Linked DNA regions of Xenopus tropicalis. The protein of the gene in region 1 purifies or fractionates together with the protein of each later gene. This does not show direct contact. Links are inferred from orthologs where the notes say so. Each region holds a gene or a part of one and is shown on either strand. Other genes may lie near its edges. The genes, in order: exosc1, exosc10 and dis3l.

Region 1 (11,009 bases):
GACTACAGGCAAGGGCAATATTTGGCATTTTTCTCCATGCAGAACTATGCAATCAGTGGGGAGCATTATGACTGGAACAGAAGTAATAAATATGCCCCACAGTATTCTAGCTTGTGCAGATGTCTGTTGTAGTCCTATGTCCGAAAGACAAACTCATTGATTTGTAATATCTTGCCTTTCAGGTATGTCTGATGAAGCGATCATGGCACTAAACTTGCCCACTGGCGTCCCTATCATTTATGAACTGGATAAGAACCTGAAACCTATTAAGCCTATGCAGTTCCTGGGAGATGAAGAGACTGTGCGGAAGGCCATGGAAGCTGTAGCTGCCCAAGGCAAAGCCAAGAAGTAAATTGTTGTTGTTAGAGAGCAGCCATCCTTTAGTTTACATTTCCCAAACACCTCACAGCTTAGGGACTCTCAGATATAGTTGCACGTGGGTCCATTCAGTTTTTTCTACTTTTTATTTTTTTTTTTCTCCTAGAAAATTCAGTTACTGTTTTACTGTAAATTCCCTTTGCCATAGGTTATTTACAGTTGCAAGGCCAGTCCAAATTAAAGGTTTTTATCAAATTAGGTTTTTAAAGAGAGAACTGGAATACCATATTTCTCTATAAATGCCTGCCCCTTTACTACGGAATTCTATATGACTTTCCATTGGCTGTTAATAATTCATATAATTAGATTGTGACCAAGCACTTAACGGTTATTTATTTACTTTTCACTAGTGCACCTTTTTGGTTTTGTATTTTTTCAAGAGAAACTGTACTTATAATTAGGTTATAATTTAATATTTTTATTGATTTGACACTGTAGGCTAATACCGTATGTTATATGATGTATCTGGGACTTCAAGGACAAGTTAGGTCAAATTCCAGTGGGTGTAATATTAACTGAGAGATTACTATTAACTCAGATCACTGGTTTGAGGATCAAGCGTACGCCCTATGAACCAATGTATTTGGGTCCAAAATATTGTCCGTTCTGGCTAATGTGCAAACTGTTTGTTGTAATTTGTCCATAAAATGAAACTGTTATAATGAGATTAATCTGCTGAAATCAATGGTTGCTGACCACATTTAGGTTGCTCCTAGTATGGTAAATACTATATAGTAAATATATGTATGTATATAAAATAAATATATATATATATATATATATATATATATATAATATATATATATATATATATATATAAATTATGCTATACTAGTAAATGCAACTCATCAGAGAGCACTGGTCCTTTCTGTGTCCCACCCCTACTGGCCTTTCTAGATGGCATCAGTGGTCTCTGCCCATTCAGTGCTACCATGTTTACTGTAGCTGTGTTTTCCTGATAGAGGTACCTTTTTCAGGATCATTACAATAAAGGAGTGATGTGCAATGAAACATTGTGTTGTTGTGGTTTATTTTTTATAACAGTAGTTGAGTCTATGAAGTAACCAACTGCTATAATATAGGTAAATATATATCTAATATTGGCTAATAGAGTTCATAGGATCTGCTCAGTACAAACAGTGTTTATTACTGCTCACACTGCTGTGCCTCTTTCTTTTAACTGGTATGTGGGCAAAACAATGGCCCTTAAGCTATGCCTCTGTAGCAGCCAGAAGGACCTGTACTGTACATAAATCTCATAATGCACTACATTAGTTAGCTCTTATGCCATCCAAATATTTCACATAGAATGTCAGTTTGGCGTGGTGGCCAGCGATGCCTTCTTCCCCATGGATGGACTATTCTGTTCTTTAAGGAGGTATTGCAGAGAAGGTAGGTGGGCACTGCCAAAAATACATTAAAGCTGATCCCAGCTGCAGAGAACAGAACCTTGGGCCTGGCACAGATGCTTGTGGGGAATGTGATCGGAGTTGTCCTAGGCAAAGTCGAGCCATATTTTCAATTTGAGATTTTCAAATTCTTTTTTTTTTTTTGTAATTGCACAAATTCTAGAGATTGAAGTTTTTTCATTTCCTTATTAATAAATAAGCATACATTAAAAATGTTAGTTTATTTGAATTAGAAAAACAATTTTGAATTCTCAAACTGATAAATAAGCCTATTAGTGTGAGCTCTTGCATTCATGTGAAGCTCAAATAAGCTCATTTCTATCACAGTCTGGAAGGCACTGACACATAATGAATCATCTGTATACAGTTGTATTACCATTCCGTCCTAGGCCCTGAACTTCTCATTTATTTATTCATGGGAGAGACACTGATGGAAGGAAATGTCAACAATATGTAAAGAAATCAGTTAATTCTAGGTATAGTGAAACATCTTGAATCACTGGATGTGTAATCTTCAGGACAAGGCTTTACATTTTCTTGTCATGCTTTTGGCACTAATAATGCTCACATAATACAACTGGGAATACTGCAGGTACCCCAGCATATGTGCTGTTGTTTCACCCTATGTGATATTTAGTAGCATTAATCTACTCTACTTTTTAAAAACAGCCAAGCTGAAAGTATTGAAATTATCCTCAAATAAAGCCAGCACCTATCCTAAAATGGGAAAGCGATCTTAACACAACGTTTACAACAGCCCATTGGCTTCAAGTGGCTAACGCAGCTTACAAATATTTCAAATTTACTAACCACATAGAGAACCAAAGAAAAATTCTATTCAGAGGGTACAAAACACCCTCAATCAGATATATCCAAACACCTCGTCCACCTGCTGGAGGTGCAACAAAACAACAGGAACACTAATCCACATGTGGTGGGAATGCCCAGCACTTGCCCCCTTCTGTGCAGATGTCTCACTACTATTGTATGAAACAACAAATATACTAATCCCACTAACTGCCTCACTAGCACTACTTAACCATCGACTACAAAATATACCTCCAAACCTAAGGAAACTTACCTACCCCATTATCATTTTGGCCAGGCTATTAATACCACGACAATGGAAAACCATACCAACTAAGGAAAAACTGATCAACCTCACAGACTCTAACCTTACGTACGAAAAACACGCAACAGAGAAATACTTTCCCACCAAGCATGGAAAACCAAATTTCTCAAAAACTAACAGCAGCCACATAAAGCTAGAAAATGCACCCGGCAGTCAACCAACAAACACCTAACTCCACCACCACAGGATAACGTCAGGAAAAGATTCACCCAGGTTTAGTAGCGAATGATCTTGGACTATATACCCCCACTCCACCATGATCTCTCCGATACTTACCTCTCTCCTGTCTCTTATTGTCTCCCTTTCTTTCCTTTTCCTCTTTTTTGTATGAAAATCTCAAGTTGAAAAAAAAATCCTCAAATAACACTCGGGAGAGTTTCTGTTGTAACAATAGATGCCGAAGCATATACAGCATACAAATAAAATAGGGCAGGCGTGTTTTGTAGCTAAAAATAAAAAAATAGGTTCTTGTCAAAAACAGACCTCATTTCCTAACACTGCCGAAGCCAAAAAAGGTGACTTCTTCAACCTCTAGGTGCAAACTATGGTAATTCTTGCACAATTTGCACTTGTGACATTCTGGAAAGGAAGTAAAGGTATGTGTGTGTGCTATAGTTTTTGTTCATAAAATACATTAAATGAACAGTGCAAAGGAGAGTGTAAAGTACAGGGGCTTCCTTGCACCTCTATGGCTTACTCACAATAATAAAGGCCAATACCGTGCCTGCCCTTCCTGCTGGAGACTGCCACTGTTTATTAAACAATAGTATCCTTATACCCTTTTCTGTCAAGCATTTTCCTTAGTTCCAGAAGAGTTGGTATATGTTAATAAACTTTTTTAATTCTTAGCAAAAAGTTGATCCAGGGATTGTTGGAGTAATTACTTCACTCCCTTTAAGGCTTATGGGAGATGCCTTCTGATATCTGTATTGCTCCAGATTAACTAGATATTAGTGGTGTTTCTCTTAGAGAAAACGTTGAACTTGAAGGGTGTGTCCTTTTTCAACCACATCTACTATGTAAAGGTCTCAATTACAATTTCTAGGCACTAACAAAAGATGCTGTTAAATGCTATATGCAATGTGTACTTGTGCCTGCCTATGCCCATGCTGTATGCTTATTTTCCAGTGGCACCTGCTTTAGTGCATAAGGGGCAGTACAGCACTGTATCTGCGCTGGCCACACAGTAACTGCACAACCCCCTTGCCACTAGTTTATTAGACCCTATGAATGGTACACAATTAAAAAGCATTTTACTGTATGCCCAGGTGACAACTGTGTTGGAAACTAGTGAATTGTGTCAATTTTAAATAAGTATATTAGGGCTAGGAATTATTCATCTTGGCAGTGTTGTTAGTTACTGGCCTAGTTACTGACAGAAGATAAAAGTTCAATTATAAAGCAAGGTGTATATACACACATGTATATATATATATATATCTCAAATATTCAAATATTTTCTTCTTACAGTAGGTGTACGAGGCAAGAGCTTATTGCTGTCTGTGTGCCTCCTGTCCCTGAGAATAATTACACCATTTTGTAAGTTCTGATTATCCCCTATAGGTTACGAGGTCAAAAAGGGAGAAACGTACATCCCAAGAATAGCGTCTTATTCCGTAACCCCCTCGTCCGGTATTCTTTCTGCGTTATTAAGGAAAATATATATACCTATCGATTTTCGATGGAAGCACCACTGTACAGAAGCCTCACGCTGAGAGAGCCTGCCTCGCTATGGTTTCCATGCAACGTCATAGTGAAGAGAACGTTTTCTAATAACTATTACAGTCACAGGAAAAGCAGTGTAAATGACATTCTGTTGCTATAGGAACACATATCTGGCCAGGTTGTGATATGTAAAACCATATTTTTTTAGAAATGAAAATCGATTTCTAGAACACAGACTAATACTAACATAACACTGTTTTTTTAAGATAAAGTAAAGGCTGCCAGAACTCCAGCCTCAAATTGTACAATTGCTACGTGGTACGTCATCACGCTGCGACGGCTGAAGAGCCAATGGCAGGATATGTTACGTCACTAACCGGGATGTACCCAATCGGAGCCTTCATTGCCCAGTATTGGTTATCACGTGTTTATCATGGCTCCTGTAAGGTGCTGTGTGCCGGGTGAGTGAAGCAGGGCACAGTGTTTAGTTAGTGTCGGTGCCTGGTAAGGAAGGACTGGGTTGGGTAGGAGTGCTGTGGGTTAGTGACTGAGATGTAATAACAGTAGGGATGCCGTAAAAAGAAATTGTGGAAACATTTCTCCTGCTCGTGTTGTAGTAAATGTATGTATATCTTTATTTATAAAGCGCTACTTATGTACGCAGCGCTGTACAGTAGAATAGATTAATACAAACAGGGGGTTAATAAGATAATAGATGAATACAAAGTATAACAATAAATACAAATAAATACAAGATACAGTTACAGTTGCAATAAGTTAAGAGTCAAAGACACAAGAGGATGGAGGTCCCTGCCCCGTAGAGCTTACAATCTATATATATATATAATTTCAGCTCTCCTGTCAGGCTTCATTCTGGGAATTCTGAGTTCAAGTTCTAATCTCTGAAGTAATATATTATTTTTACTTTTAAAAGTTGGTTGTTTTTTATATACCCTGTGCAGAGTTGTATTATTGTGTTATCTTTCTTTTAACCTCTGCAGGTGAAAGGCTGTGCAGCACTGAAGACTGTGCCCCTGGATATGGAACTTTCTGCAGACATGGCTATATTTTTGCCTCCCTGGCAGGTTACATAGTGAAGAAAACTGACAATGGCTTGGTAAGTAGTTTTCTGTAGTAGGTTGTTATTATACATAGCTGAGATACGATACACGAGTGGTAACATTTATGTTTTCGGGAGGATTTTAGGGCAGTCATTTGTTTCCCAACTATACAAAGCAGTCACTGGGAGTTTGCAGCCAGCTCAGTCTTACATTGTTGAATATGTGCCAGCAGGCAGTTGGGTCTTGCCACCTAGACAATACTATTGATCCCACCCATACATGCAGCCCTGAAGTAATGTTGAAGCTCATCTTTAAACTATTTCTGAAAGTACAATAATTTGCTGCTCCTGTGCAGACTGTCCCCAGTATAATATAGTTTTTATTTAAAATTTTTATTTCCTTACCTGCACTTTTTTGGTTTCTAGATGCCAGTTATTTCTGTGGTAAGAGAGACTGATTCACATCTTCTGCCAGATGTTGGCTCTGTTGTCACTTGTAAGGTAAGAATGTATTTTGCACACCAAAGTAGAATTCTGTAGTGGTGTTGTGTTATAACAGGTGGTAAAATGTATCTTTTTTTTTTTTTTTTGGGGGGGGGGGGGGGGGGGCTGGGTTTAGGGCAGTCATTTGTTTCTCAGCTATACAAAGCAGTTAGTAGGAGTAGAAGCCAACATTGATCCCACCCATGTATATAGTTTTTATGATCAGGCAAAAATCCTCTTTTTGGTGACCTTTCAGCATAAAAGCTGGCTTAGGTACAAGAGGACTGGTAAGGAGCTGTGTAAAGGGCTCAATGACATTAACATGTCCCAGCCAAATGATGGGTTATTGTGAGATACGAGGTACTTACAAGCTTAAAAGGAGCACTTTGGAAGGAGATGATAATGATTGTGGGAAAACTAAGAGAGTGCCATCTGTACATCAGCTTTTATAGATTGTAATATTCACTTTAAATGAACCAATACTTTGAGGCAATCTGTAACTGGTATTTATTTTTTTAAGCTCCACTATGTTTTATAACACAGTATTTGTCAATTTGAAATGTGAACTTTTTTTCATTTACTTTTTAATTTTTCATTCTTATAATAAACTTCATTTATTATTATGGAGTTTCTAATTTAGTCTTTATTTCCATTCATAATTAGGTAACAAGCATTAACTCCAGGTTTGCAAAGGTCCAAATTATGTATATTGGTTCAACTCCACTGAGTAACACATTTCGAGGCACAATCAGGTAAAGGATTTACTCTGAGGCTAGACCCTTCTTATTTAAAGTAAACCTTCTGCAGTATAGAGGGAGCCCATGTACTGGCATTTCTGGGTGTTGAAGATGTGTTCTGACATTTGCTCAAAAAAAATCGCATAACCCCTTTTGCAATTTAATTTTTATGCCATAAAGCAAGATTGGGCTTGTGTATTGCAGAAGATTAGTAAAAGTCACGAGAACCAGGAGATGGATTCCTTTATACATGCAGCTGAAAATGCGGGCTGGGGATTTGAGGACACTGACCCCAGCAGCAAAACAAAATATTTACTGCAGGGCTTGACAGTTATGGATAGTGGTTATATTTCTTTTCAGGGCCCGCTGTTCTTCATCTTTCATGTAAAGATTGCGCATTGGTTTTTAGGATAATTAACCCCTGGCAGTGAGAATTTAAATTCCAACCCTCAGAGCAGCAGAACAAAAAATTTAAGAATAAATTAAAAATCCAAAAAAAGCTATTGAATCTGTTTGCCTGTGTATGAATTGCTTAAAAGTACATTTTAAGGTGTTACACAGTGTTTTTAGAAATTATATGATTAAGAGCCAGAGCTGGGCATCTAACATTATTGCCTTATGTATAAATAGTTGCTTTTTGGCTTCTAGGAAAGAAGACATTCGTGCTACAGAAAAAGACAAGGTAACTGGACCCGCTTGTTTGTTTTTGTGAGTAAAAAAAAAAAATGTTAGGCACCCTCTCCGAGATTGTAATCACTTACTGCATACCCCAGATTGTGCTCCTGTTAGCAAAAAACTACACTGGCCCAGAGAACAGTTTGCTGGTTCTTCCTTCTTCACGGTGGATATGCATGCACAGCAGTGTGAAAAATGCCAGCTTTTCCTCTCTACTGCGCACGCCCCAACTTGGGGCCACTGAAGAATGAAGATGATTGGGATGCGGTGCTCTCACAGAAAGTACCCCAGACTGATCACTGGGGGTGCCTAAATATTAAGCACCCCTCTTTCCTTCTCCCTTAATCCCAAATGCTCTTATTCCAAATAGGTGTAATATTTCAGCGATTTAAAGAAAATATCACAAATCAAAGGTGCATGGCCTTCTATATTTTTAATATATTCTGTCTTTAAAGGTTGAAGTCTATAAAAGCTTCCGTCCAGGAGATATCGTAATGGCCAAAGTGGTATCCTTTTAGCTGTTCAAATCAATTAAACATATATTGCCTGTAATTAGTATTTACCAGGTATTCACATATTATCTTCTTCGCAAACATAATAAATATACTATTTGATTTATTCTTAACTTTTACATCTGTTCATGCCATTATTATCATTATGATTTGTCTTTTGAAATTCTGCTGCACTATATTCCCAAAACTACCCAAACACCTGCCTCTCTTCAAAAAAAATCACTAGTTTCGAGAACATTATTGGTGGGATTTGCTTCCATTGAGCCACAAGAGCATTAGCAAGGTTGGGCACTGATGTTGGGGATTGGATCTGGCTTGCAGTCCAGTTTGTCCCACAGTTGTTCTGTCTGGTTGAGGTCAGGACTCGGTGCAGCCCATTCAAGTTCTTCCTCTCCTATCTCGGCAAACCCATTCTGCAGGGACCTAACTTTGTGCATAGGGCTGTTATTGTTCCATAATCCCACCCAACAATGTTCCAGCTTCTATTGAAAAGCCTTTCAGAAAGAGTAGCCGAGTTATAGCAGGTGCCCGGATACTTTTGGCCATATAGTGTATATTGTTCAGAGGTGTAGTTTACCAATTGGTGTTGCCTGCAGTATATTTTGAGTATTGAATTGATTTCTTTTTTTAAAAAAGTTTTATCTCCTGATCTTTTGCATAAGATATCTTTGGGTGACATCCAGTCTAATTATCTATTAAGCACAGCAGAGAATGAGCTGGGTGTTGTAGTTGCTCATAGTGAAGCAGGTAAGTATGTTGTGTTGATGTTGTTGATGATCACTGAAAGGGTGACCATCAGTTTCCTCTTACTGTGCCCTTCAGCACTTTCTTTTTTTGGGCCTTGAATGGCAGTATGTTCCAGGGATCTCCAAACTTTGGCACACTCTCACTATATCTGTTCCTCCATAATGACTACTCAGATGTGTGTGGATATGTTATGAACACACTATTTGCATACTAATCAGCATCTGCTTGTTTTTGTCCCAGGAGCTACTATGGTGCCAATCAGCTGGTGTGAGATGCAGTGTCCAAAGACGCACATTAAAGAACAGAGGAAAGTTGCACGGGTGCAGCCAGAGTTTCTGCAGACATAGAGAACAACATGTGGCACAGGCATTTAAGCTCCTTGTAGTTGTATCTAACCACTCGGTAGCCAGGCAGTTCTGAATTATCTTAATTTGTATTATGGCAAACAATGATTTTATATTTGTTTGTGCTTGCAACCTTGAGTGCCTTGTTGCCTCCATAATTTTGGTGGTTAAAATTAAGACAAGCCAACAAAAATGTAACTCGGTTCCCTTCATTTAGGCTAATGCCTCTCCACTGACAATAAAGTAAATCGCCGATGGAAAGGCATACATGTAGCTTCAGTTTTCTGAAGTCATTGCTACTGTCATTTTACGGAGATTAGTTGCCTGCGGTAGTTGATATTTAACTGTGGGCGACTAATCCCCTCATGGGCATCAGTCTTTTTAACAGTATTTCTTTGCTCCAAAAGTTTAATTGATCAGATATGTGTTTTTTTTTCTCTTAAAATAGTTTTATTTGTATTTTGTACATTTTCCTCTATGAGAATAAAATGTATTTTTTTTGTCATTTATTCACAGAACCACTATTTTGGTCAGTGAGATTGTAACGGTATATCTTGTGAAGCTCTTGTAGTAAGAGTAAAAGAGACAGAATGCATGTGAACAATGTATTAGGGAATGTATTTTGCTGGCTCCAAAAATACCAGGGATCCCCACACTTTTTTTTTTCACTTATGAGCCGCATTCAGATGCCCAGCTTCCCAGAGTTGTGGCAAGACTCCTCCAGTTCTAGGTTTGGACAGAGGATAAACAGGATGCCTGAGTTTGTGCAGTTGCAAGAAGTAACGATTAGAGTTTCGCCAAAAATCTCTCTTGTACGTTTGCCAACACTCCCTGGTCAGTTTCCTTGTCAGACTAGATTGTAATGCTGCAGTACATCTTAGACTTACTTTCCAAAGGGACAGCAGTGCATGTGCTGCAAGGAGAAGAAGGTGAAGGGTTTTTCTTTTTCTAATAAGAAAGTTATTGGGCGAGATGAGACCTATATTAGACCTTGCAGCTGTACATACAAAGCTTCAAAACAGAAACAATCCAAATTGTTAAAGCAGCCATATGACCCAGGGACTGCCTGTGTACCATTTACCTGAAGGATGTGTATTTGAATGTACCGTTAGCCCAAGGACATCAACAATTCCTCAGGTTTGCTATAGGTCACCAGCATCTGCAATTTACATGCCTACCTTTCGGGTTATCCACGTCCCCCAGGACATTCATGAAGGTGGTTAGTAGTTGTTATTGCAATGCTCAGAGAAATGGGTGTAGAAAAATATCAGTATCTAGATGACCTTTTGCTACTTGCCAGAAGCAGGGAAGTTCTGGAGGAACACAAAAACCAAGTGGCGGCTACTCTGCAATGGATAGATTCTCAACTAGGGTCTGTGGCATCCAGATTCATCAGGATTGAGGCTGAGAGGGGAAGGTTAGCACAGCTAGGTTGTTCTGAGGCTGTTATAACTACTCTGTTGAGATCTAGAAAGTCATCTCAGAGATAGTATGCGGTGTTCAACATATTTAGAGACTGGGCTTCCAAAAATGAGATAGATGCCTGGAACCGACAATCCTAGGTATGCCTGAATTTCTGCAGGAAGGCTTGGATAAAGGCCTTAGTTTGAGCACATAGCTAGTACAGTTGTTGATGTTGTCAGCCATGCTAGAGAAGAGGTTAATTTAAGAGCCTTTAAAGGAGAAGGAAAGGCAAAGTCACTTGGGGGTGCCAAAATGTTAGGCACCCCCAAGTGACTTTAATCGCATACTTTTTACCCCGGGCTGGTGCCCCTGTTCAGAGAAAACAGCACCAGCCCAGGGTAGCTGCAGCGCTTCCTGCTTTGCGCGCATGCGCAGTAGAGTGAATAGTGGAACTTTAACAGAG
Region 2 (10,400 bases), about 32 Mb from region 1:
CTTATTTAGTGCAGAGCTGGCAGACTATTTACATTGGTACTGTTAATTGGAAACTCATTAACCAGCAATTCACAAACTTTGTCACGTTCTCCAGGCAAAAAATTGCTCATAAAAATAACTACTTGGATAAAGGGTGGGGTGGCAGGACATACCAAGACCTGCACATTCTGTCATTTCCCAGAATTCGTGACAGGCACAGCACCACCCTCAACAATTCTCAACAGGCATAGCCTACCCCGCTGCGCGGATTCCAGTATTTCATGACAGATGCAGCCTCCAGAGCATCATGACATGCACTGTACTATTATCTTCTGTTTTCTTTATCCTGCTTCATACTTTTTCAAGTTTATATTTTTATTTCCCCCTTTCACCTGTTCCAATTTTTTTGTTTTTTTAATTAAAGAGATGTGCAGGAGACATTACATTTGCAGGCAGATTCCTCTATCAGCTTCTGATCGCTTTGCTCTTACAGTTTGCTTGCACATGTGGCACCCAGCGCAGCCCAATAGGGAACACTTGTCACTTTTGCGTCACTTCCGTCCACACATGTATGATTTTACAGGGAGAACCTTCAATATAGGGTTACTGCATATGTGTGCAGTAACCCCCAACCTTGAGTGTGGGCACTTAAAATATTAGCATTAAAATATAAGGATGGATATATAGGTATAGATGTATATACAGTGGTGTGAAAAACTATTTGCCCCCTTTCTGATTTCTTATTCTTTTGCATGTTTGTCACACTTAAATGTTTCTGCTCATCAAAAACCGTTAACTATTAGTCAAAGATAACATAATTGAACACAAAATGCAGTTTTTAAATGAAGGTTCACGTTATTAAGGGAGAAAAAAAACTCCAAATCTACATGGCCCTATGTGAAAAAGTAATTGCCCCCTTGTTAAAAAATAACTTAACTGTGGTTTATCAATTTCAATTTCAATATCAATTTCTGTAGTCACCCCCAGGCCTGATTACTGCCACACCTGTTTCAATCAAGAAATCACTTAAATAGGAGCTACCTGACACAGAGAAGTAGACCAAAAGCACCTCAAAAGCTAGACATCATGCCAAGATCCAAAGAAATTCAGGAACAAATGAGAACAAAAGTAATTGAGATCTATCAGTCTGGTAAAGGTTATAAAGCCATTTCTAAAGCTTTGGGACTCCAGCAAACCACAGTGAGAGCCATTATCCACAAATGGCAAAAACATGGAACAGTGGTAAACCTTCCCAGGAGTGGCCGGCCGACCAAAATTACCCCAAGAGCGCAGAGACAACTCATCCGAGAGGCCACAAAAGACCCCAGGACAACATCTAAAGAACTGCAGGCCTCACTTGCCTCAATTAAGGTCAGTGTTCACGACTCCACCATAAGAAAGAGACTGGGCAAAAACGGCCTGCATGGCAGATTTCCAAGGCGCAAACCACTTTTAAGCAAAAAGAACATTATGGCTCGTCTCAATTTTGCTAAAAAACATCTCAATGATTGCCAAGACTTTTGGGAAAATACCTTGTGGACCGACGAGACAAAAGTTGAACTTTTTGGAAGGTGCGTGTCCCGTTACATCTGGCGTAAAAGTAACACAGCATTTCAGAAAAAGAACATCATACCAACAGTAAAATATGGTGGTGGTAGTGTGATGGTCTGGGGTTGTTTTGCTGCTTCAGGACCTGGAAGGCTTGCTGTGATAGATGGAACCATGAATTCTACTGTCTACCAAAAAATCCTGAAGGAGAATGTCCGGCCATCTGTTCGTCAACTCAAGCTGAAGCGATCTTGGGTGCTGCAGCAGGACAATGACCCAAAACACACCAGCAAATCCACCTCTGAATGGCTGAAGAAAAACAAAATGAAGACTTTGGAGTGGCCTAGTCAAAGTCCTGACCTGAATCCTATTGAGATGTTGTGGCATGACCTTAAAAAGGCGGTTCATGCTAGAAAACCCTCAAATAAAGCTGAATTACAACAATTCTGCAAAGATGAGTGGGCCAAAATTCCTCCAGAGCACTGTAAAGGACTCGTTGCAAGTTATCGCAAACGCTTGATTGCAGTTATTGCTGCTAAGGGTGGCCCAACCAGTTATTAGGTTCAGGGGGCAATTACTTTTTCACACAGGGCCATGTAGGTTTGGATTTTTTTTCTCCCTAAATAATAAAAACCCTCATTTAAAAACTGCATTTTGTGTTTACTTGTGTTATCTTTGACTAATAGTTAAATGTGTTTGATGATCAGAAACATTTTGTGTGACAAACATGCAAAAGAATAAGAAATCAGGAAGGGGGCAAATAGTTTTTCACACCACTGTAAGTATGGTGGCCTTTAAAGTAACATAGTTCATAGAGTGAGGTGCACCAAAACTTTTGTTATTGCTGAGGTATATTTAAAACATAATTTTGGCCTAAATAAACATATTACATATTTTTAAGGGCATTTTACTTGATGAAGCATCTGGACTGAATCGGAATCAGCAACCCATCCTCCCTGCTGGCCTTCAGCCTCCAAAGACAATTGTTTCCAGCTGGAATAGGAAGGTAAGAAGTTGATATTCTTAAAATGTGCTTTGTTTTAACCATACAGATGAATATACAGAGATATAGACCTGACAGCAACCTTTAATACTTGTTTGACAAAAAGTTGAAAGGACCTTCATCCTTGTACTAAATAAAAGCATATTGGATTTGATAAGTAGGTACATTGTTTGATTTTTTTATAAATATCCCATGGAGCCCAAACCTCATTGCGGTAGTCTTCAAGCCATGTTGGTGTTTCTGCAGGAGTTTTCTGCCACACTCCAGAAACATGCAGGCAGGTTTATTAGACTTCTGGTAAAATTGTCCCTACTGTGTGTGAATGTGACAGAGTTCTTCGACTGTATGCTCCACAGGAACTGACCTCTGTGTTGGTCAGTGCTGCAGATTGTTGCCAGAAAATAAATAACCCAACTTGTATTATGTGTGTTATATATTTATTTATTTTGCAGACTAGTGATTTAAGCAAAAAAGGAAAATCTGAAACTTTTCGACTGCTTCATGCTAAGAACATTTTGCGCCCCCAACTTAAGTTTAAAGAAAAGATAGACAATTCCAACACTCCTTTTGTTTCAAAACTCTTTGTGAAGCCCAATGCACAAAAGCCTCTTCCAGAAGGTGAGTTATGGCCCCTATTGCTACTGTTGAGAGTATTTTGATCTTTCATGAATCTAAAATTAATTTTTACATAAATGAGCCCTAATAATAATAAACTAGCTTTTATTAGCAAATATATGTCGAACTGAAACCTTTTCACAACTTGATCTGCATTTACATTTGCAATTTCTTACAGATTTAATCTCCTCTTCCATACCTTCATAGTTCTCCTTCTTCCCATCCTTACATTTTAAGCCTTCAGATACACACCAAACTGACCACTTCATTCTTATAAATACATACACACCTATTGGACTTCATCAAAGCAATTCCCTACCTGTGGAGTTCATTACAAAACATAAAAAGTCCAATACCCAGTAGAGTTACAAATATTTCCTTAATAAGTACCTCTGTTGTGAAGTTTACACTCTAACCTATTAGCCTGTAATAACTCACACACATCATATTATCCTTTTATCTCATTACTAACAGTGATAATATTTCCCCAACATAAACTGCCCAATTTGACTACATATTTTATACCTTGTGTGTCACTTATTTTATGACCTTGTGGGCAGGGCCCATATTACCTACTGTTATCCGTTTGTCTGTCAGTTTTGTATCCTTATGTACATTGCTGCAGAATATGTTAGCATTAAAAGACCCAATTATTTAAAAGCGCTATTTAAGTTGTGTAACTTTTTTCATTTAAAGTTTTACCAATGTATTTAGAGTCTCCCACATTTGGATATACTTTAATTATATTTCTGATTGTTCTCATCTGGAAGCTTAATGAAAAAATTCCATCTAACTTATCAGTTCTCAGGAATAGACTAGAAAGGCAGCAGAGACAAGAGGATCTGGATGTTCCTCCTGCTTTGGCAGATTTTATTCATCAGCAAAGAATGAAGATAAGCGAAGAGGATATGTAAGTATAATGCAGGGTTTTTTGTGTCTGTCTAAAAATGTTTCTAGCAATAGTTGGCAAAAAGTGCCTAATAAACTATCTACAGCAGAATCCCCCTTTTTACAGTTTTCAGGGAACAAGGAAAAAAATAATGTAAAATCCAGGAAAAAATATCAGGGAAATGCATTATGGCTTATATGTTAGTTTGGCTACAAAAAATATTTAAAAATATTTAAAAATATTTAAAATGCAGGAAAACTTAATATGTGTATGTAAATTTGAGGCTTCACTGTATAACTTATAGAGCTATTTTTATTATGACATTTATTATGGGGTATTTGTGCGTAAATGTCAAGGCAAGTGGGTTCTGATGTGTTGGGCAGCCCTACTGCATATAATCAATTGCCTTTGGCCGCAGGCCAGTGCTCCTGTTTGCTGAAAAGTGCAACGGCCAAGGTACTATCCTTTGCAAATGCGCCGCCTTCTCTGCAGATTTTGCTGCTATTCTCTTTGATATTCGAGACAGCTTGCATGCACAGTAGAGTAAAAATCCTAACTTTAAAATTTAAGTTTTGAATTTTACTTTACTGCACATGCACGCAATAGTAATTTTGTAGGTTATTTTATATCACACAACCTAAAATGTAGCAAACTGTTCTGGTGAACAGAAAATACTGTTTGCTACGTGCTGTCCAAGTTTTCCATGTAGTGGGAAGAGCCAACACAGCACATTATGGGGGGCCAGATTATATGCTAAAAATTTTACAAGTAGATGTTTGTTGATACTGTAAGTGGCCTGAGGTCTAGTGGTTCCAGAAGGGCTAAATTTACAGATAATACTCAGCAACCAACTCAGGTACACAAAGACTACTGAGCAATGTTCCCTCTAAGCTGTGTGCTTGTGCACACACACATTTAGTCCTGTGCACACAGCAAATTTTGGTGCCCACAAAGAAATTTTGTGTGAAAACACCAAATTTTGTATCTATTCCGACCTGAGCACACCATTTTTTAAAATGCCCACACAAGTTTAAAATGTGCTCACATAGTCCAGAAGAATTAGTGGGAACATTTGTGCTAAGATTATTCCTGTTTAAAATTGCCATCTTGAGTTTCAACTGCTTGACCCAGGCATTTGTAAATACTGGGGTCATCTCTGATCTCTTTTTGCTAACAGCTATGCAGCATACTTACCAAATAAATCATTTTAGAGTCCCCTGTAAGGGAAGACACTGGTAAGTCTGGTAATGGTTTTCTTTGTTGCTATCTATGAAGCAATTAAGTGTAGCCTGTATTCAGTTACAGTGCACAATAACAAAGTGGAGACAGTATCTGAGATTTGCAAATGGGATGCTTTATTAAATGTCCATGAGAATACTCACGTGTATAAAACACTTCCCAACATATTCAGCCTTATCTGAAGAAACAAATTTAGAAAAGGGTTGAATAAGTCCTCAAAGTTTGGTGTTCTTTTTTTTTAATAAAGTTTGGAGCATCCCACTTGCAAAACTGTGGTACTGTCTCCATTTCCTGGCTGTATATGCTGACAAGGAAAAGGCCAGGGAGTGTACCTTCCATTGTGTTTTAGTTACTACATTACCATGCTTTCCTTTTTAAAGGTTCTGTCATCCCTATCAGTATGAATTGGATCACTTTGTACCCTTGGAATCGTCAATGGAGAAGCCAGATATTCAGGTGAGACCACAAAAAGGGCAGCCTTTTAATTTGTGTAAGTAATGAGGAATTTGATTTTAATAATTCTAAAAGATCTGTTTTGTCAACAGCCCGTCCTCTCCCTGCAAGATGTCCCATGTAAGTTTGTGATGAAGCTGGAAGACTTAGTGGCACTGAACGAGAAACTGCTACAGTGTGCAGAGTTTGCAGTGGATTTAGAAGTAAGTGATTTGTTTTTTTTTTAGGGATGTTTATGTAGCAAGCTGTGTGCAGAACTTTTTTTTTTTTTATATAAATAACCAATCTTTCTTTCTTGAAAGCATCATTCCTACAGAAGCTTCCTAGGTCTTACATGCTTGATGCAGATTAGCACTCGGACGGAGGATTATATTATTGATGTGCTGGAATTAAGGAGCAACATGTACATTTTAAATGAGAGCTTCACAAATCCCTCTATTATCAAGGTCTGTAAAATGTTATTTTCCCTTTACACCTCAGGGACCCGATTAATGGTGCCTTATTATTCCTTGTTGCAATTTTGTTTTAGGTGCTTCATGGAGCTGATTCAGATATAGAGTGGCTTCAGAAGGATTTTGGCTTATACATAGTAAACATGTTTGACACTCATCAAGCAGCACGTATTCTTAATCTTGGTCGACACTCACTTGATCACCTCCTCAGGTTGTATTGCAATGTGGAGTCAGACAAGCGATATCAGCTTGCTGATTGGAGAATTCGGTGAGTTCCAGCATAAATAATTTACAAACTTTAAACCAATAAAGTATTACCTGTACATAAATTGAAACATTTGTATACAATTTCAGCCCCTTACCTGAAGAAATGATTGAGTATGCTAGAGCAGATACACACTATTTGCTTTTCATATATGACAAAATGCGAACAGCTCTACTAGGTGCAGCCAACAAGCAGCAGAACCTTCTCCAATTGGTATGGCAGAAAAGCAGGGACATTTGTCTGAAGGTAAGACTTTTTCCTAAATGTAACTTTACAAATGCATATATAGAGAATATCCTGACACAGTGTATTTCCTACAGAAATTCACAAAGTCAATCTTTACAGAGGATTCATATCTAGAGCTATACCAAAAGCAAAAGAAACACCTTAACACGCAGCAGTTGACTGCCTTCAGGCTCCTTTTTGCATGGAGAGATAAAATAGCTCGACAGGAAGATGAGAGCACAGGGTAAGGAGATATATGTGTTTATATGATGTCTGTGTCAAGGCTGTTGAATTATACTAAAACATGTCTTTTTAAGTGTTTAACAATAATACATTTATTTTTAATATTGCAGTTATGTGTTACCAAATCACATGTTGCTGAAGATAACTGAGGAACTGCCCAAGTGAGTGCATCATTGATTTTCTTAAAGTATCTTTAATATTCAACAGTTTTAATTCTAAAGCTACAACATTTTAAACTTCAGAAAATTGTATTGCCAAATAGCCCTTTTTTTTTTTTTCTTTTTGTGCTATACTGACCAACACCAACAATATACACCCTATGAATGTTTTTTTTTTTTTTTTTTTAAGAATTTTTGTATGTTCTATTTTAGGGAGCCACAAGGAATCATTGCTTGCTGCAGTCCAGTGCCTCCACTTGTGCGACAACAAATCAATGAATTATCTCTTCTTATTCATCAGGCGCGTGAGACCCCGCTTCTAAAGGTATGTTATTAAATTAAGCAACTGCGCGTCATGCTCAAACCATCTACTGTTTTAAAGGTGTCTACACTGATTTTGTGTCTTATTGGGAGACCAGGTAACACCAATCGAACATGCCTCATTGGAAACCAGACTATTGTAAGCTTGATATTATGGACAACTATGTGAACCTATTCAAGAATCTCGCCAAACTGGAATATATATATATATATATATATATGTGCTTGAGAGAGGGTCAGCACTCACAGGACTTATACAAACAAATTATTTTATTAAAGAGGAGACTAACGTTTCGGCTAGCACTCTAGCCTTTTTCAAAAGGCTAGAGTGCTAGCCGAAACGTTAGTCTCCTCTTTAATAAAATAATTTGTTTGTATAAGTCCTGTGAGTGCTGACCCTCTCTCAAGCACCTTCAACATTATTTGGACCTGCACCCAGGCAACAGCAACTTATCTATACGTGAGTGCCGGCATTTACTTGGAAGTTTATATATATGGGCTGTGTGTTCCCTCTGAGATCACATGACCAGAAATAATGTAGCTTTAACTGTAACAGGTGGAAGTGTGGAATAAAAGGGCAGATTCTGTCCATTAATTGGCTAATGTGACCTAGCATGTATGTGTGTCCATTAATTGGCTAATGTGACCTAGCATGTTTGTGTGAATCCTATGATCCCAGGAGGTGGCCCCTTCATTCTTAAAATGGCAATTTTCTATTTAGGAATACCCAACAGCACATACTGCTAAAGTATATTTTTATGAAAATGGTTTATTTAGATGAAGCTGTGTGTAAGCTTGTTAAAACAATATATTTTATAGAGACCTACATTGTTTGGGGGTATAGTTTTCCTTTAGCAGATACATGGCTGAAACAGATTTATATTAAAAAGTCATTGCTCTGTTGCTATTCATTTATTGGGGCATGAAAAAGCACATAACAGTGAGTGATGTTTGCACAATGAGCATGTAGAACTTCAGGAAGAGGTTAGTTATAAGCCTGGCTACAGGTATTTAAGGTACGCCATGCCAGTACAGCCAGATTCAGCAATGGCAGCCCCCTCATAGAAGAACATGGGGGATCAGGTAATGGAAAAATATTAGGCTACTACTTTTATGGCAAAATTATAAATAGCATGCGAAGAAAATGTTATTTTTCATAAATGATCAGTTTTCTGGAAGGATGGGAGTGGCCTATTTAGAACCTGACACACGGAGATCTTCCTGTATGCTTACATCACATCATCACGTCCAGGCTTCGCCCTTACTTTTTTCCTATTGGACCAATTCAGTGGGTGCTTGTGCACTCCAGTTGCATAAATTGAAAGGTAATCGGTTTCTCCCTTGCAGTGGCATAGGCAAACTGACTCAACATATCACAAATCTAACATACTGTTACAGGAAGCAATGTCAGACTGACTGGAGCCAAGGCCAATAGGAGTTAAGTCTTTATAGGAATCACAATCCCATTAATACATAAAATCTAGAAGCCAGAGGTTCCAAATAGAAGCATAGTAAAGATGCACCTACCCTGTATCCACCCCTCAGATGTGCTGTGCCTATTGTGGCTATTTATTATTCAGTGTTCTACATGTATGCAAGGAAAAATGTGGTTCCATCCACACCAAACTCAGTGACTGTATCTCAGTGAGAGAACCTGATAAAGGGTCAGGCATAAAATCTATGTAACACTAATATGAATAAATTTTGGGGTGTTCTGGTTTCCTCCCAGACTCCCATCCTGACCACTTTGGGAATGTGACAAAATATATTTAAAAAATAATACACTGGGACAGAGACTTATGTAAAAATGATGTATAATCTCTTTAAAGGAGAAGGAAAGTCATTTTGTCAATTTAATGCCAATAGATTTGCCACATTAGTGCCACCTAGAACAATATATTTATTCTGCAGAAACCATTACCATACCTGAGTAAACAGCTTTAGAAGATTTCTCTGTTTGCTTAAGATAACAGCTGCCATTTTAAGTAGCTTCCTGCCTGCAGTCTAGCCGTTAGCTGATATCACACATTCCTAAGGGAGGGGGGAGGGAGTTCTTAGCATTCTGGTGGGAGGGGGAGCAGGAGAAGGGGAGAGAGGAAATAACTTTGCAGGCTCTGGCCACAGGAATTAAGGATGTTTCTGAGAGAGTAAGTCAGACACTGGAACATCATGTTTACAAAAAAAGAGGCAAAAAAATCCTGTGTTTCTTTTGATAGAGTGTAAGTAAGAGAGAGTAAGTGCTTATGGCTGTATTTACATGAAGCTTACTTAGTTTTTACCTACCTTCCCCTTTAAAGCACTGCAGTATGTAAAGAATACAAATAATAATAATACAAATAATTTTACTTATGCCTATTTGAATCTATCTGACAACACATCTTTTCTGGGACCTGTAACTCTGCATGACTCAAAATGCATTTGGACTTTGACCATTTCTAAAATAACCTCTAATTTCTACTTTCCTTTGCAGTGATGAACATATCATATGCCAAAGGCATAACATTAATAAAATATTAATAAGTTTACCACTCTTGCAGAATTGATTGCAAGTACGGGTATGGGACATGTAATCCAGAATGCTCAGGACCTGGGTTTTTCCGGATAAGGGGTCTATCTGTAATCTCCATACTTTAAGTCTTCTAAAAAATAATTTAAACATTAAATAAACCCAACAGATTTGTTGTGCTTCCAGTTGGATTAATTATATCTTATATCAAGTACAATGTACTGTTTATTATGGAGAGAAAAAAAGGAAATATGCTTTAACATTTTAAAATATCTGTTTAAAATGAAGTCTATAAAAGATAGCCTTGCTGTAATTTGGGGCTTTCTGAATAATGGATTTCATTCTGTTTATATTTACAACAACTATTTTTTCCCCTCCTTTAGTCAGAAATAAGCAGTGCAAAGAAGAAGGGTCCCATGGCAAATCCCGAGGTAAAATGTCAGTGTATTAGTATGCTAGACAGTAATAAAAGAATGATGATGATAAATGACCTGCTTGTCTTCT
Region 3 (10,938 bases), on another chromosome or scaffold:
CAGGAGATTTTGATGGCTGTTTAAATCTCCTACCCATTAAATCCCCAGCGCGGAGGTGGTGCGAGCGACAGGTGGGGTATGAGTGTCACGGAAATGTTCTTACCTCCTTATGGCAGTTGATAAGGACAGGACTCCTGAACCTCCTGATGCTGAGCTCTGCTCCTCAGAGAGCAGCTTACCCTTGGACACAAGTGCTTGCTATGTAAGTAGTAAGGGGCATGCTCGGCACCTCTTAGTACTCTAGCATTTGCTCCCAGCATTTTCATGCCTACGAACAGCCACCTTAACTAACCTACCTGTTCCTCTATTGCGGCACTCTGTCCAGGCCCATACTTGTGGCTGCTGTAAGGTGCCATAGACAGTCACTATTGTGCTGGTGGGGGGCTGTTTGGGCCTCTGTGTACTCGAAGTGCCAGGGCTTATTTTTATTTCTAGTCGAGGCTTGCCTCTGTCTACAATTTTCTGCATGTGTAGCACATGCTTAGCTGTTTTTTAATATATCATTGGTACCATTGGTACCGAAGGAGGAGCATCCATCACTGAAAGAAATGATTATTCATTTTTAGTTTGGGACTAAGTGCATTGGTAACATCACTGAAAGGATCACAGCCATTGGCTGCACCACAAAGTATTGTGGCCCAGTCAACAAGTGGTGCCAACGATCAACACTTGCCACAGGCCAACAAAGGCTTGGTGTTTCCTCATTGGAAAGTGGAAGTTGTTTCCCAATGAAAGTGACTGTTGTGTAAAGGACTTTAGTATTCCCATTATTTTGTATACGCTGTAAATTAGGGCTGTCCAACTGGAGGCCCGTGGGCCGTATATGCCCTTTCAAAAGACTTTTATGGCCCCCAGTCTGCTCAAGGACTAATCTGGCCCTTGAATATAGGATGTAATTGGCCTATGACATGTAAAAAGTTGGACAGCACTGCTCTAAAGAACTGATACAGAGTAGAGGCCTGGCTCACAACCATTTACAGTCTACCAATAAACTCCCATGTATGTGTATATGCTGTAACATTTGTAGTTTTTACTACCAACCACTCCCAGCCAACCCAAAAGAGCACCAGCATGGATTCCTTGTGATAATGTCTTCTCTTTGGTATGTCCATTAATCACTTGCTGCTTCTTGGTCGGTGGAAATTAAAGAAACAGTACAGATTTTGGCCACATTTGATTCATATTCTGATATACAATACTGAACAATTACTGCCTTAGGACACAGTCTATGGGTTACTATGGGGTAAACAACAAAAAACTTGCTGTTGGGTACTCTGCTTTCATAAAGAAAACAATTGTATTCGTTCACAAGCAAGTTTAGCCCTAAGACATTAAACCTGGATTCATTGGCTCGGTAAGCATTGTAGGCAGTAAACACAATCAGAATTCTTCTCTTCTAGCTAATGGAATAAAAAAATCCATACTCATCTATTACTGTATATAGTATAACATGTTCAGTGGCAGCACTTGCTCACTGGGAAGGCTATGATTACATTTTGCTGTGGTGCATTCTACAGGATCAGCACCTTTCTGTGGAAAACATAGTCACTCTTGTACAATTACAAATTGGTGCCCCCACCCCCCCAAGGACACGCTTATGGAGGACTGTACACAATGCTCTATTAGTTAAAACATCTTATTCCTTTGCCTTTTGTAATTGCCGGCTTTAATCCTACTCTTAGCATATTGTTACTAGTGATGAGCAGGCTGACCCAAAGCCCACGGGACCTACAAGTTTAACTGCAGGTCGGTGGGTTCGGGCCGACATCCACACAGCTTTCGCGGGTCACGGTCAGGTTCAGGCTGAACTATACCATGCGCCCATACTATGTCCCAATTTCGCCTTGCCACTTCACTATTTATAGATCTTCACCTGCATGTCCCATCCCTTTTCTGACATCAGAGAGGGGCGCATGAGGGGCTATAAATACTGTGACTTACTGGGTTAGGGCTGGGTGCAATAAATAAGGCATGGGGCTGGCCTGCCTGGAGGGGTACTTGGAACAATTAGAGTGAGAATTGGGGACATTGGCCATTTGCTCGCCTAGATACACCCAAATGACCAGCATGAAGCTCAGTTAGGGTGAGATTTGGGTATTTGCTATCCTAGATATTTTTGGAACTCTGGTATTTGGAATATCTGGTGATGTACCAATATTTTCCTATACCTGTAAACTTGTTTTTAGCCTAGATGGTCCTTAGATAAAGATTTTATATTCAAGGGGGTCACTGGCCAAAGGTTTGGTTCTTCAAGTGGGGCTTGAACTGGAAATAAAGTTTACCAGCCACTGAAGAAAGGCCTTTTATTTATAAAAACAAGCCCAAAACAAGGATTTTTTTTTTAACTTTTCTGAAGAAAAAATGCAATTTTATAATATACAGATCCCAACACAGTGTATACCTTATCTCATAGCCAAATATATTCCCCCTAACCCTCATTTGCACTTGTCATCTGCAGGTATTCATTCCTTAAAAGCCCATCACATATTTTTTCAATTCAGCATTGGTTACTGTTCCAGTAAATACTGGCCCAGATTAATACAATAGATCAGTTACATAAGTGTAGCTGTGTGGTCAAACTCATAACAAAGTGTTTTCTCATGAAAACTCCATTGTAGATCAGGGGTGAACCTGAATCTGAGTTATTGCATCAAACTAAACATGGTTCAATAAAGTAAATCAAACAGAAAATTGGCAGAACTGTAACAATCTCTGGCCTTGCAGAATTACAGATATCTTAACCCCCCACTAACTTTCTTTTGTATTCTGTGCATTATATTCTCCTTTTGACACTCACGCACCTAGCAGACATTTTGCATTGATTATAATCAGGTACAAAATCTGCAATATTTTGTACCTGTATCTGCAAACAGGCTTTATAACCCCACTATATTAAGGCAGAAAACAAGAGTGGTGAAGATGACCCATCCACCTGTCCCCAGTATTTCACTTCAGTGATTCTGAATCTTCCAGCACATTTCATTTTTAACTACAGGAAGAGGTGACGTGTTTTCCATCTGAGCCAGCAGCAATCTTAACACCTCATGTAGGTTCGGACTGGGGTGTGAGACATCCACCAGGGCAGCTACCCCAGGAGCCCCCACAATTCCTCAGGGTCCCCTGAGCACCCTCTCACTATCACCCTGCTCATCTATCGCCAGCCCCTTCCCCTGGCGAAGGCACCGGTGAGCAGCAGGTGGGGATTGGGTCTGGGTCGGCGGGGCCCACAGTGTCCCGCCGGCCCAGTCTGACCCTGATCCCATGTGCTATAACAAAACAAAAAATAAGGTACAAGTGTGCCGGAATTGGTGATTCTGGTGAAAAGAGAGCATCTTCAGTTGCAAAGAAGAATACTAATAAACTGTAAAGACAAATTAAAAAAATAAAAGAAATAGAATCGATTCATTTACAATATTTGAAATGTTAATTTAAAGATAACATCCCCTTATGTCTCTGAACAATAAGGTCCACTTCACACACCCTACAAGGAGCTTCCCTCAGGCTGTACCAAAATCTGGTTCCAGTACATACAGTCTGTGCATCAGAGGAGCAATTTAAATACACATAAATGATGGCAAGGTAAATACTGCCCCCTAGTGGCACCTTTTATTTTGATTAACAGGCACAGTTGATAAAGGAAGGCACAAGGGCTCATTACACCTGCAACTGCATTGGGCAAAGTGCAATCACCACTGTTTTCCCATTCTGCAGCATATTTCAGCGTTATTACGCACGCCATGGGACACTGCACCTAATGCAATTGTAGTGGAAGAGTCAAAATGAATGCAGTTGTGCTGGCACTATGTGGCAAATGAGATGTGCGCCTTTCTCCAGGGTAGGGTGGGGGCGGCCTGTTCTTTAGGAGCAAGTTCCATGTGCCCATTGCAGGGTGCCTGGGGAACCACATGGCCTAAAGGTGGTGATAGTTTTAGGGCTGCTCTGTGCCAATTCATAATAGGAGACAGGAAGGACAGTTGAGCCAAGCATACTATACTGAGTGCAAGGGGGCATTTTCATGCAAGTACCTTCAATAAATGGGGTTTTACAAACAATTCACTGTGGGCCCAAAACTGCGCTTGTGGTCGTCAATGACCCTCTAAAATATATTATGGTCATTTGTGGGATAACTCAGCAACAGGTCAAATCCCCCACAGTAAACACAGCCATACGAAATACACGAGCATGCGCAGAGCTTCTTAGTTAGAAGGCGTGGCTCGGGAGCGCAGCTAGAGGGCGTGGCTCGGGAAGCGCGGCTAGAGGGCGTGGCTAGGGATTGTTTGGGGGCGTATTTTCCCGCCTCCCGGCACCAAGCCATCAGCAGGCTGCATTAGCTGTCTCACCGCTGTTTTCCTTTGCGGATGGGTTGGTGTGTAGGCCGCAGTCATGCTGAAGACGGAGAAGATTTTGCACCTGAAAACGAGGGGCCGGTCTGTGAGAGCCGTGCGGGAGCATTACCTGCGGGAGGATGTGCGCTGCGGGAGTGCGCTGTGCCAGACGTGCCCCAGGGGTGAGATAGTCTATACACGCAAAGCTTGCTGGGACTTTCAGCTCTGCCCTTACTGCTCTCACTACTGCTGCTGTGTCTCTGGCAAAGCCTAGTTTAACCCACTTATTACATTATCCCAAACTTTATAAAACAGGAACATGTGCTTGGGATGTATTATTGTTATGGTAAAGAGAGTGGTGACATGTTCTGTGGCAAGGAATGGACTCTTGAATTAATGTGAGCCACCTACCTTGGAAAGGATATATAGTCAGCCAGGATAAGGGGCTTTTGCACCCATAGTAAAGGCGGCAGTCTGCACCCCCAACCCCTACAAATAGAGACAGGGATCTGCTCTGCTGGTGAGCTGATCAAATAGTGTCCTACTGTACAGCAAAGTTACAATTGCAAAACAAAAGAACATTTGCAAAATAAAAGGGAAAGTAAACCCTCAGAATTGGATCCTTTGCTGATCTTTTTCAGAGTTTCTACACTGGATCACCAAATCAAGAGAAAATATAGCTTAGTGCCACAGGCTACAAAAAGGAAATTACAACCAACAGAACCTAGCACAATATCGTTAGCCCTCAATACAAACACCAGGATGTTGTAACACAATTCAGTGTGTGTGGCCAGAACTATAGGAAGTCTATGCACAGATTTTTCTGTTTCTCCAAAAATAAAATGAAATAAAACAAGGTGCCGTAGTGCTTTATTCAGATATAAAACTCTGCATGCGGATTTCCCGCTCTATGGTTGGATTAGCAATTTACAAGTTTCCTGGTATCAAAACAGCATGTTGGTACCAAATTTTTAAATTAGGACAGCACCAATAGTGTAAGTTGCATACATCTCACTTCCGTGCGCACTGTCTGTAGCGTATAATGCAGATTGTGGAGGGCAACCTTTGCAGTACAAGGAGAAGGATTCTGGCCACGTCTTCCTCTCTTGTGCTTTCCACCTGCGCATCCATTCACCGCTGTTACCGGAAGTGACATCACACCTGATGCATTTTGCTAAGGACTCCTTTTTTAGAGGCAGATTTGATTATGTTTCCTGTGTTGCCATGGTTACTATTCAAATAGCAGGTTCACTGAATGTTCTTATAGCCCATCCCCTATAAAGTTCATTTGGGCACCAGGTTAGGCTACAGCCACATAGAGCTGATTTGCGGCCTGTAGATAAACGCAAGCAAAGGATCAGCCCCCTACAGCCTTTCCATGTGCCTGCATCTGTGCATAGACTTTCTATGGAGTGATAACTATATTGCACTAGGTTCTGTTATTTTCTTGTATTTTTCCCTTAGTCTGTTGTGCTGATCTATATTTTTTCTTGATTTAGTGTGCTGTTGTGCCTACTGCCAGGCCCGACTGTCAGTCTTTAGATTCTGGCAAATGCTGAAGGAGCAGCTGTAAGATGACAGAAGAGACAGGTCCTTGCCACAAACTATACGTGTATTTACATCACTGACATCACTGGTCCTTTTAACAGATGGAAAGCTTTTGTCTGAAGATCTGACTCACTATGTGGTCCCCGACTGTCAGATACTTCAAGATTACCTGGAAGTGTTGGAATTCCCAGAGTTGCGGGGCATTATCATCATGCAGACTGCATGCCAATCTGTCCAACATCAACGAGGACGAAGGTAAAATATTAATGTTTTAAAGAAGGTTTACAGGAAAATCAGTATGCTCTACACTAATTCCTAGCATTTGACTAGTACGTGTGAGCTGAAATTGATGAGAAGCCATCTTTAGAGTTTATACTTGTGCACTGACCATACTTTTTCATAAAATGCTTCACTGCTAGTTTACTCCCTTTCTGCAGAAAGCGTATAACATTTTCTGATAAAATGTATTTATTGTCAGTATAAATTAGATCAGAATCCAATAGACTACAAGAGACAGTGCCAGGCTGCACATGCTGAGAAATGGTGGCAGTACCCTGCCAGGCTTCACAACCCAAGAACTGATGGATGGGGGTATCCTGCCAATATACAGAGACTGAGGGATGATGGAGGGGCCGTTCTAATCTGCACTGCCAAGGGATGGTGGTGATGCACTGCAAGCCTCTATAGAGATTGTGGTGGTGCCCTGCCAGGCTGCACTGACTAACAGTTGGTTACCATGCTATGTCTTCATGCACAGGCCGAGAACACTGAGGGGGTAGCTGAAGTACTCTCCAGGCTGCAATGGCTGCGAAGAAGCAGCAGTGTCTTATAAAGTTGCAGTGACCAATGAGTTGGTGATAGAGCCCTGTCAGTCTGCACAGGTCAAGAGGTGGCAGTTGTGCAATGTCATGTTGCAGAGGCTTGTTAGTTAAGTTGCTCTGAAAAAGTATTAATTGAATCTGTGATGGATTCGAAAAAAGAGTAAATGTGTAAAAAAGTAAAAAAAAAAGGGTAATAATAAAAATAAGTAAGCAGAAATGTGATCTTTCCAAGCTGGGCCATTGTGCTCATCCTTCATTTGGTTGGCGCTGGAGCTCAGGGCAGTGATAGAACTGCAGATGAAGCAGGACAGTCCAGCTGCTTAACTGATAGCCTCTTCAAATCAATTAGAAGAAATCAATACTGAAATCAATTGGGAGCCTGAAATAAAGTAGATCTCTCAAATTTAATGTCAGCCCAGGAAAGCAGCCACCTCTGATTTTAATAATAAATGGTCTAGGGGGGTTAAAGTTTCAGTACTTCAGTAAAGATAGTCATGGACTGTAGGCACAGACATGTTCCTTGTAAATGCTGGAAAGTGCAACTAATCATCATTGCCTGGCAGATATCTCTGGCATCTCTAGACATGTGGCACATCTAGACCTGGACACTAGGAAACTCATGTGGATTGTCCCTGTCTAAGAACTGGCTTTCTATCATTACTAAAAACCTCACATGTAAAGCCATCTGTAGCCAGCGATTGTCTTTGCCAATTAATGTGGTCTGGCTAGTTGGCCACAAGGCATGCAATATCTAGCTGGCATTAGAAACATCGTCATGTGCTGCTCAGGCTCTATAAACCTAAAAGGGACATGTTACAGATAAGCTGTGATTGCTGTATATTGTACCATTGCGTGTGAAACATTGCTTATGTGCAATGGCACAATAAATAACGGCATGTTTGTAGAAGGCTGGGCCCCCTTATTTATAGAAACTGGTTGCATTTTGATGTGGCCTTACATCTGGGGGTTGCAGCACTGGACTAAGATAATTGGCACAAAAATGCTGGGAATGCTCCTGCCAAACTGTTTTCATTATGTGCTGCAAGGGAGCTAAGCAGAAGCGACTGAATAGGCTATACACATGGACAGTTTTGGGCCACAAACACAATACACACTTCTGGCTGTAAAATTTGCTGCATCTGCAAATTCTAATGTCAGGACAACTAGTGTCTCTGTGGCAATTGTGTCTTTCAGAAAAATGACCCTGCTGTTTTCCTAATAATTTTTATTCTTAAAGGGGAACTCCACCCAAACACAACTTAAGCTTTTTGAAAAGAAAAAATAATTTTAAGCAACTTAAGCAATATACATCAATGAATGCAGCCTTTTCATAACTTTTAAAATAATAATATGGATTGGAAAAGTTACCTAAGCCTCGCCCTGCTGTTCCCCTGATGATCTGGCTAACTACTTGGGGACTCAAATAAAATTGCAACAATAGTCAACTGTCCTCAGCCTGCATCCTCAAAACCCCACACATCCTGCAATGCATTGTGGGTTATACAATTCCTGCATGCTGCCTGTAAGGCAGGGGGCTCAAACTCAATTTACCTGGGGGCCGCAGGAGGCAAAGTCAGGATGAGGCTGGGCCGCATAAGGGATTTCACAAAAAATTGGCTTTCAAGGGATAATGCAAGGCACGGCGGGAGCTGCCGATTGTGGAAATGACGTTATGCCATCATAACAGTTATTATGGGAAGACGTTCTGTGTGCACAATTAGCTCCTTAGCAGCTAATTGTGCACACAGAATGTCTTCCCATAATAACTGTTATGATGGAATAACGTCATTTCCGCAATCAGCAGCTCCCACCCACCGTGCCTTGCATTATCCCTTGAATCGCAATCCATTCATTGCTTTTGAGAAGGCGTTGGTGCGGGCCACAAAATACTGTACCGAGGGCCGCAAATGGCCCGCGGGCCGCGAGTTTGAGACCCCTGCTGTAAGGTGTGGAGAAGTTGTTATACTTCAGACTGGATTTTATCTAAAGGCATGATAAATGTCCACTTTATCTATCCAACAAATGTGATTTGTGTAATGATTTTGTTAGGATGTGACTATCATGTAATGAGCATCCTGCTTAAGAAATAATGTTCTAGGAAACATTAACCATTAAGTGATTATTAAGCTGCAGAATGAATGGCCATGTAAGTAGTGGTTGGTTATTTTCCTTCCAGTTTTGTTTGTTTTTTCTTTCTAAGATCTTAATTTTATCTGGCCTATTGTTTTTGGCTAAGCTAGGTTTATTGTGCTGTGTTTCAGGCAATACAAGAGGTTGTGTTCTCTGCTCAGAGATACTCGTCATGACTGCATTTTGTTTTCCAATGAGTTCCAGAACCATGCCTATCTTCCTAGAGAAATGGGGGAATCTGCTTTGGCCTGGCAAACAAGGTACTTCAGTTTGTCTGTAACGCTGCCACCTTATAGAATCAAAGCCTGACCTAACTGCACCATTCTTAATGGGATGGTTGATGTTTGAATGTCCTTGCAATTGGTCTTCATGATTTATTCTTTGTAGTTTTTTAATTATTTGCCTTCCTCTTCCCCTCCAGCCCAAATGGGGGTCACTAACTCTAGCAGCCAAAAACGATTGCTCTGTGAGGCTACAATTGTATTGTTATTATAACCTTTTATAACTTATTATTCTATTTCAGATTATCTTCTATGCTTATTTCAATCTCTTATTCAAACCACTGTCTAGTTGCTAGGGAAAATAAGACCCTAGTAACCAGATAGCCACTGAAGTACTTAACTGGAGAGCTGCTGATCAAAAGACTAAATAACTGAAAAATCATAAAAAATAAAAGATGAAGACCAGTTACAAACTGTCTCAGAATATCACTATCTACATCATACTAAAAGTTAATTTAAAGGTGAACAACCTCTTTAATGCTATTACTTAGGTGCATCTACAATTCTTGTGTATGGTACTATCAACACTGTCAGAAGAAAATCCCTGTTGTGATGGTCACAGAAGATAAGTCTGTCATAAGGCAGTACAACACCGAGACCCAAGAGGTGTACGTGGTCTCATTCCAGGTCAGTGTGAGGGATTTTGTATTAATCCAAAAGGCAGGAAGAAGTGCTAAGGGACAAACTGAGAACATGTTTGCTATCAAAATAAAAATTCTAACAGCTTTCCCCGCAAATTTGTCTCTCTTTAAATAATATATAAAAACATTTTATATAAAATAATAATAGTCGGGTATATGTCACAAGGAATAGAAAAATCATCCCAAGCTAAAGAATTGCGCTTGGATAAATAATGCATTTTATAGTACAATATTATATACAACAGTGCTGTCTAACTGAAGGCCTGGAAGCCAAGTACAGTCCTCCAAAAGGTTTTGTTTTGTTTTTTTTAAAAAAAAAGCTCTATAGATTTCTTTGTATGACATTTATTATTTAAATATTTGATATCAAATATGCGGGCCACTTATATGGACAGCAATATTTAACAATATGATTTTGATTCATCAATTTATGGATATGAAAAAAAAAAAAAGGAACATTTGTAGGAATACGGGAGAGTTAGCATGATAAAGTGCTGCAGGGTAAGTGCTTTAATGCATTTTATACAGATTTACCTGGAGACTTTCTGGCCCAATTTAAAAGGAGCCCTGGAGCTGTATAAATCTCTAAAAGAAACCCATCGAGAGCGCGAGCTAGAGAGCCGGGAGGGTAACGGCAAAGAATACCCGGAGCACCTGCCACTGGAAATTCTCGAGGCTGGAATTAAATCTGGCAGATACCAACAGGTGGGTGTTCTCCAATAATACTACAGGCCATGTGGGAACATATAGGCTGCAATGGAACTCATATCTACCACTTTCTGCCTTCTCCAGGGTGTTCTCAGTGTAAACAAGCACAGAGCTCAGTTGGAAGGTTTTGTACGACTTCAGGGCTTAGGAGGAAAAGAAACAGGTATTACAGGCACCTTTTAAGGCTTATAGCTCTGTTAACTCAGTAATGTTCTGTTACAGTTTGCTTTGTGAAAGGCATTTCTCCTATGAGACTCAAAAAATTTTGAGACAGCCAGGGAAACCATTTGTATATGAGATCATTCAGACTATGTAAAACTGACATATATATATATTTTTTTTTTTATACACAAACATCAACGATTTTCACATTCATAAGAAACCAAGATAGTCTCCCTCTGGCTCACAGGGACCTTTTCTCTTCCCTGCACAAGGCTTGCACAGCCATTCAACTCATCCCTTACCTTGCACCATGTTAAAGAAA

The links.
Region 2: the proteins of exosc1 (region 1) and exosc10 purify together in Homo sapiens (co-immunoprecipitation; 8 studies listed by BioGRID and IntAct, counting the BioPlex papers as one, with this or other methods). This does not show direct contact. The link is inferred for Xenopus tropicalis from reciprocal best matches to the Homo sapiens genes EXOSC1 and EXOSC10.
Region 3: the proteins of exosc1 (region 1) and dis3l purify together in Homo sapiens (affinity purification with mass spectrometry; 4 studies listed by BioGRID and IntAct, counting the BioPlex papers as one, with this or other methods). This does not show direct contact. The link is inferred for Xenopus tropicalis from reciprocal best matches to the Homo sapiens genes EXOSC1 and DIS3L.

The regions. Positions count from the first base shown.
Region 1 is NC_030683.2:32,981,537-32,992,545, forward strand, and holds exosc1 (exosome complex component CSL4), read left to right. Parts: upstream 1-5,000; 5' UTR 5,001-5,017; coding exon 5,018-5,045; intron 5,046-5,585; coding exon 5,586-5,701; intron 5,702-6,070; coding exon 6,071-6,145; intron 6,146-6,790; coding exon 6,791-6,879; intron 6,880-7,512; coding exon 7,513-7,546; intron 7,547-7,994; coding exon 7,995-8,045; intron 8,046-8,713; coding exon 8,714-8,798; intron 8,799-9,038; coding exon 9,039-9,145; coding exon of another isoform or gene 9,146-9,218; 3' UTR 9,219-9,647; downstream 9,648-11,009. Other genes in the region: pgam1 (phosphoglycerate mutase 1), read left to right, coding at 183-352. UniProt on the Homo sapiens protein: Non-catalytic component of the RNA exosome complex which has 3'->5' exoribonuclease activity and participates in a multitude of cellular RNA processing and degradation events.
Region 2 is NC_030683.2:64,881,617-64,892,016, reverse strand, and holds part of exosc10 (exosome component 10), read left to right. Parts: intron 1-2,428; coding exon 2,429-2,533; intron 2,534-2,982; coding exon 2,983-3,148; intron 3,149-3,946; coding exon 3,947-4,055; intron 4,056-5,653; coding exon 5,654-5,729; intron 5,730-5,818; coding exon 5,819-5,929; intron 5,930-6,028; coding exon 6,029-6,172; intron 6,173-6,255; coding exon 6,256-6,446; intron 6,447-6,532; coding exon 6,533-6,689; intron 6,690-6,763; coding exon 6,764-6,912; intron 6,913-7,021; coding exon 7,022-7,072; intron 7,073-7,282; coding exon 7,283-7,394; intron 7,395-10,279; coding exon 10,280-10,327; intron 10,328-10,400. UniProt on the Homo sapiens protein: Catalytic component of the RNA exosome complex which has 3'->5' exoribonuclease activity and participates in a multitude of cellular RNA processing and degradation events.
Region 3 is NC_030679.2:117,107,180-117,118,117, forward strand, and holds the start of dis3l (DIS3-like exonuclease 1), read left to right. Parts: upstream 1-4,238; 5' UTR 4,239-4,507; intron 4,508-5,974; 5' UTR 5,975-6,084; coding exon 6,085-6,128; intron 6,129-8,955; coding exon 8,956-9,084; intron 9,085-9,596; coding exon 9,597-9,732; intron 9,733-10,274; coding exon 10,275-10,451; intron 10,452-10,538; coding exon 10,539-10,617; intron 10,618-10,938. UniProt on the Homo sapiens protein: Catalytic component of the RNA exosome complex which has 3'->5' exoribonuclease activity and participates in a multitude of cellular RNA processing and degradation events.